Linked DNA regions of Saccharomyces cerevisiae S288C. The main gene of each other region encodes a partner of the protein of the gene in region 2 in a complex. Each region holds a gene or a part of one and is shown on either strand. Other genes may lie near its edges.

What was found. The genes of interacting proteins can lie anywhere in the genome.
Region 1: SRP68 (region 2) and SRP14 share a complex: the UniProt entries of both Saccharomyces cerevisiae proteins name them as parts of the fungal signal recognition particle (SRP) complex.

What each region holds. Positions count from the first base shown.
Region 1 is NC_001136.10:290,637-293,721, reverse strand, and holds SRP14 (RNA-binding signal recognition particle subunit SRP14), read right to left. Parts: upstream 942-3,085; coding exon 501-941; downstream 1-500. Other genes in the region: clathrin-mediated endocytosis regulator UBX3, read left to right, coding at 1-330; putative dolichyl-phosphate-mannose-protein mannosyltransferase PMT5, read right to left, coding at 1,582-3,085. UniProt on the Saccharomyces cerevisiae protein: Component of the signal recognition particle (SRP) complex, a ribonucleoprotein complex that mediates the cotranslational targeting of secretory and membrane proteins to the endoplasmic reticulum (ER).
Region 2 is NC_001148.4:86,410-90,173, reverse strand, and holds the start of SRP68 (signal recognition particle subunit SRP68), read right to left. Parts: upstream 1,658-3,764; coding exon 1-1,657. Other genes in the region: UDP-galactose transporter HUT1, read left to right, coding at 2,141-3,160; YPL245W (uncharacterized protein), read right to left, coding at 3,224-3,764. UniProt on the Saccharomyces cerevisiae protein: Component of the signal recognition particle (SRP) complex, a ribonucleoprotein complex that mediates the cotranslational targeting of secretory and membrane proteins to the endoplasmic reticulum (ER).

The DNA of each region.
Region 1 (3,085 bases), on a different chromosome or scaffold from region 2:
AAAAGCCAACTAAAACCCGAACCCTCTTCTGATAAAGATGCAAGCAAAGTTGCGATCAGACTAGAAAATGGGCAGAGATTAGTGAGAAAGTTTGACGCATCTCTACCAACGGAGGAGATATATGCCTTCGTAGAATTACAGTTGCATGACATGTTGAACTCAGAAAACGATACTTTACCCGTATACCAACCTGCTAATTATCAGCACCAGTATAGCTTCAAATTGATCACGCCGGTACCAAGAAGAGAGCTTGATTTATCTACCAAAATATCTGACGTTAGCGGCATATATCCATCAGGAAATATTGTAATGGAACGCCTGGACGAATGAAAGGAATTTCAAAAATAGTCATCTCAAAACGTTTATTCTAAAGTTTAGTTAAATTTATATCTACACAACTTTATGCAATTAATCTTTTATATCTACGTTGCCATCCTTTAATCTACACATCCAAAGATAACAAGAGGCGCACATGCCTTTTGACTCAAGTGTCACGTGCATCAGTTTTTCTTCGCTACCTTGTTTTTCTTTCCTGTCTTACTGATGGTACCGTTCTTACTCTTCTTTTTCTTCTTCTTGATCAAATTCTGCATGCCCCCCTTAAATACAGATGAATACTCTTGCCAAAATTGATCTAACTCACTTGCTTTTACCACTGTTGAGCATTTTGTTTTCTTGTCATGCGAGCCATAAGACATTCTGATTAATAGTGGGTATTCTCTGTCAGATCTTGAGCTAACTGAAATTTCAGAAGCCTTTTTAGATACATCATAGTCAGGATGGTTGGTAGAATCAAATTCAAGATTCCCTTCCACAGGATCGTGTTCTATGAGTCTTTTGGCCGTTAGACGCACAGTTATATGTTTTTCATTCGCAGTCTGGAAAAATTCTGGAACCTTTGATAAAAATGCACCTGGTGATAAACAGCCAGTATTTGCCATTGTTTTAGGGTGGTAAGAAAGCTACGTTTTTTGATTTGTATTAAAGAAGAGGTATGCCAACCCGTAAGTTAAACATTAACGTTAAGTATGGCTATTTTTTCAAATGAGAGATATATTATCCTTTTGCACGGGCGAGGAAGTAAGAATATGTAATTAGTTGTTTTGTAGAAGCCTCCAATTTAGGGCGATTATGCAAAGACAATCAAATAGCTGTTGTAGTCTTTATCATCGGCTGAATGTTTTGATCTGCCTACGTTCATCTCCTCATGTGCTTAAAATGCCACTCAGTGGTGATCTTGAAAAGCCCGATAAGAGAAATACCATGTTCACAGCTTTCCTTTTACCGGTTCAATCCTAATTCATCTATTCTTTGTTTATTAAATATCTTGTTGTATTTGACAATATATATGTATATACATTACTTAATACGGATCATTTTTTTGGTATTCGTTAGTTGTTTAGTGAAATTCAACGAAAGAACAAGATAGGAAAGTGTTGCATTGTGACCGGTTATGAACTCTTTTTTCATATACATCTGGTTCTTTTCCATATGTACGTAGATCTTTCCCGCAGTTTAGCTCAAATGTAGTTTTTAAATCTTTTGCTAAACGAATGTCCAATCTGAATACGGGTGGATGGATCATGATTCAGCGTTTAATTCATAGTGGCTATCGGATAGTAATAGTGAATTGCAATAAAAGTCCCAGCTTCCTAACCACTTGGACCTCTTACACAGGTTACTCGACCATCCAGTAGCATAAATAAGTGGAGAATGCTCGCTGAAGAAATAGAAACATACAACCATGAAAATAGCCACCACTATATATCCAGTATTGTTTCTTTTGTTAGAAATATAGGTTGAAATCAGGTCTAAAGCATGACCAAATGCTAGGATACCAAAATAATAGGCCGGCAAATAATCGTACAAAAATAACTTTTGCCCCACAAAGAAGTAAGGGAAATAGTGGGCGGCAAAGCCTAATAAGTACTGAAAGACCTGATAGTGGAAATTTATGATGTGCTTATCCCGTAGAATATTCACACCTAATTTCCAAGCAAGAAGCTCAACAGCCACTCCAATGATGAACGTGCAAATAAATGCTGTGACAGACCACCACAAAACAGCGTTACCTAAAAAGTACACCTCTCTGCCATTTTCATTCCAAAAATCAATACCACGCAACATAAGAGGCCAAGTCTTTGGTTCAGATGAGTAGGCATGACTAGTATCCATATAATTGTTAAGGTAGAACATGAACTTGTGGATAGCAACAAACTTCTGCCAAAAGCTCATTTTCTTATAAGAAACCTTCTCTGGATTTGGCAAAGAAATTTCGTTTTCGTTTTCTTCAATATACCATGAAGTTAAGTCTTCCCTTGCAAAGTATGCACACGTAACTTCCTGCTGCCCGAATCCCCACTCAGGTAGCTTTTCAGGATGTGAAAATAAGTAACAACCAGTTAGATAATGCTTCAGCCTAAATTTGGTTTCAATAGCCCTAATATGTTCCTGGGCAGGTCCCGGCTCTGATCTCTTTTTATCGATTTCAATTATCCAATCATCATTTATATCACCTTCGAAGCCCTCGTATCCATAACATGACACCTCTTTTTGCCAATCCGCATTTTGAGAAACTGGAGGTTTGTGGTCATGTGAGTGTAACCTGCAGCCGTTCTTAAGCTGTCTTAATTTAATTATGGTACCGTCGGTTAAATTTTGGAAACTTGTGACATTTTCATTTGGATGTTCAGCCAGCTCAATAATCCATTTGTTATTTTGGTCGATGTGAGGATACAAAGTAACTTGTTGTTGCATGGAACCAGCCGGATAATTGTGAAGATGAGAATGCAAGTAACCACCTGCCGTTCCAACATGATTCAGTGAAACAGCGGAACCCACTGCAACTTCTGCCACAGTCTCTTTAATAACGTTGTTGTATTTTAAAGTTTTTCTAAACTCAGCGGGAAAAAAGCTACTACTAATACCATTCACGTTTAATGTCTTAATATGCACGCTGAAAATGAGAAAATAGATGAAGGCAGGAATAGCTAATAGACAGGTAAACTGGAACGCCATATATTTGATAGAAGAACCAATGGGTCTTGACAAATCACCAATCATGAACCATACTCTCCAAAGGACA
Region 2 (3,764 bases):
ATGTTATGTAGTTGAAGGCCAAATCAAAAAGTGTTGGTTTACTAGGAATGGGCAGCATTTTTGGCTTGAGAGGGAATAAATTTTTCAATTGTATGTCCGTTGGCAGTATTTTTTTACTATCCAATTTTTCAATCACTGTCAAATCATATTTCCCTAAGCTGCCACCATGATTTCTTTTTTCGTATTCCGCCAAAGTAATGACACTATTACCACCGTTTTCGATTCTCTTTTGTAAGCTTCGGACAGAATTCAATGACAAAAGATTTGCTGGAAGTAAGATTTCGTCTAGAGATTCAATTTCAGATAATTTGTTTTCTAATCTTCGGTAAGCGTCCACATATAGAGCTAACGCCTCCATATATCTGCCTTTCGACTGATATAAAACACTCAGGCAGCCCGTATTCAGAAATAACTGGAAATACAGCTTGCATAAGTCTAATTGGCTTAGCAGCTCGTCATCTGAATACACACCAGGTAGCTCCATTATGTCCGATAAATATTTTGTCAAATTCTTCACAATACGTTCCATTTCTTTATATTTGGTTAACTTCGATGGTAATGAAGTATTTAATTTCAGCCATTGATTCCATAAATGAGTAAACAAATCTCTTTCACGAGATATAGAGGTCAAAAGAATATTATATTTAATGTAGGCTAAAATTATCTGATTGTTTTCAGAACTATTTTCAACCATCTCGTCTATGTCATCTTGATCGTCGTGGTTTGCGATGAAAAATTCATGACGGTCTAAAGCTTTCTCCAATTTTGATAGCCTCTGTGTATATTGAGTAATCTGAGTTGGGTGGATAGATAGACCTTGTTCCAAAAATTGAGCAACTTCAGCATCGATTATCTTGGCGTTGAAAGATCTCCAGTTTATGTTAGTGGTAACCTTTTGATCTTCAGTTGAGGTTGTAATTTTTTTCATATTGAATCCATTGTCTAATAACAATTTCACAAGCTCATCGTCCTTGTTCTCATCAGATTGAACTCTTTCCACGATAAAGTTATTTATTTCGGGCGTTGTAATTAAATTTCCCGCGTACTGCTTGAGAGAGTACTGGTATTTATTAACAATGTTATCTACAACTTCTTCAGCTAATAAGCTTAGATTCTTCAAGTGTTCCAATGCGGCGAAAACGAGGGCTAGGTTGTTCGAAATTTTGGCATTGTCCTTCCTCTTGAACCTTTTTCCATTAATTAGGTACTCTGAATGTACCAATTTAGCGAACGCTAAATATTGGGCACGAGTTATCCATTGCTGTTCATTTTGAGTGACGTTAACCAATTTATCAGCAGTCTTGCAGGCCTTCTTCAATCTTGTGGATAAAACCTTTTCTTCACTTTTCTTTAACTTTCCTCTTTGACGAGCTCTCAATTTCAAAGTTTCAGCCAGTGCCAAGTCCCTTTCAGCGTGTAGTAAAATCAAAACACCAATCAATTTAGTTTTATTATCATAATCCTCGGAGTTAATTTCGCCATACTTATTTTTACTTGAGTATTTCTTTGTATCCTTGGTGACCAAATGGCAACGGCTCCTCAAGTGTTGCAACTTTTTATTCAATTTCGCATGATACTTAGCGAAGTCTGAGTCTGTTTCTAAAAACTGTTCTGCACGATTACCATAGGTGGCAATGATTGGAGAATAGGCAACCATCTTTAGTTTCAAGCGTGGCTAGTTTTTGATTCAATATGGAAAAAAAGAAAATTACACTGTAATATAATACAATTGATCACTTTGATGCTCAAATAATTCAAATAACCTAGTCTCCAGCTGCTCGTTTATGCTAATATTGTTGGATTAACTCTAGCAAATATACTCCAAAAAAAATTTTCAGAACTTATCACGAACAACGATGTGGTAAAGACAACGAAATACTACGTAAATCATATTGGTCTGCTCGTTTATAAAAGCTTACTCCCAATCAAATCACTGCAATGGAATATGTCGTTTGGTTCGTTGTTGTAGTTTGTGGAATGCCAGAATCATCAGCTGTTTCTCTTCCAAAGCTTCCCTGAGATCGCTTCTAAAGGTTGTTTTGTAGATCCCATCGAACATGAAAAAATGACAGCAATGTAATTAGAACCAGAATTACAACGTAACAAGAAGAAGTAAACAAGGCAGTATTCGTATATTTGTATGGCGGGAAGTACATCCAGTTTGGTGATCTGTGCGATTGGTATATATGCTACTTTTTTGACGTGGGCATTAGTACAGGAGCCTTTGGCTACAAGAACCTGGCCAAACTCCATGGGAAAGTTTCAATTCCCTAATGTAATATCCCTCATACAAGCTTCTGTGGCAATGATGATGGGCTACCTGTACTTAAACTGGAAGAAGGTGGAATATCCGCCCAGAAAAATGATTAAAGATCATTGGAAACAATTGATGTTGATATCATTTACACAGAGTAGTTCAGGCCCGCTGGCTACAACTTCTTTAAAGCACGTGGATTATCTCACTTACATGTTAGCAAAGTCATGCAAGATGATCCCCGTGTTGTTGGTGCATTTGCTTTTGTATAGGACGCCCATAGCAAGCCAAAAAAAAGTTGTAGCTCTCTTGGTAAGTCTCGGTGTCACTATTTTCACTATAGGTGGCAACGATGGTAAAAAGTTGAAGAGATCCTTTAATGAGAGCGGAAATGATAACAAATTACAAGGGTTTGGACTACTTTTCTCTAGTTTATTCCTTGATGGATTGACCAACGCCACCCAAGATAAGCTACTAAAGGCCAATAAGGCCAAAGAAAAGGGAAAACAAACTTTGATAACAGGTGCACACTTGATGTTTACACTGAACCTCTTCGTGATATTGTGGAATATTTTGTATTTTATTGTGATCGACTGCAAACAATGGGATAATGCCGTTTCTGTATTGACGATGGACCCACAAGTGTGGGGCTATTTAATGCTTTATTCGTTCTGTGGCGCTATGGGACAATGCTTTATTTTCTATACTCTAGAACAATTTGGCTCTTTAGTTTTGATCATGATAACAGTCACCAGGAAAATGGTCTCGATGATTTTGAGTATTATTGTCTTCGGTAAGAGTGTACGTTTCCAGCAATGGGTGGGGATGTTTATAGTATTTGGTGGAATCACTTGGGAAGCACTCAACAAGAAGAAGGCTAATATACCGAAGGCAAAATCTGCGTAGATTAGTGAAGATCGCAACAAATAAAAGTTAATATTTATAAAATTTGTCTATACTATGTACTTCCTATTTTTTTGATGGACGAAGCAGTCTCTCTCTTAATTCAGGATCGTATGCATAAACATACAGACCACGCACGCCACGAGTTAAGAGGACATTAATGCTATTCATAATAATCTTTTGCTTAACGTCCTCTGCATTGTGAATGTTTTTCTTTTTGGTGAAACCGGCCCTATCGTCATACAGCTCTGGTCTTAGTTTGATGCAGTCATTAGCCGCATCATACCCAATGGAACGGCCCAAAATTACACCAGCATAATTCAGATCAAACCCTTGGATAGTATACACACTACCTACCTCATCAATCGTGTCGCAACGCTCACTCCAAGGCGTCACTTCACGTGGAGTATAGCGATCCCAGCGAACTTTGAAATTGTCACCACATTCAACGTAATAGTCTTTTCCGTCCAAGCGATAGGGAAAATCGTAAGTAGATAGCATCCTACATTGGCCGTATTGACGGTCTTTCTCCTTGATTGCCTCGTACATGGCGCCACAATCATCCCAAATTTTGAAATCAAAATTCTTAATTTTATCGTCAGCACAA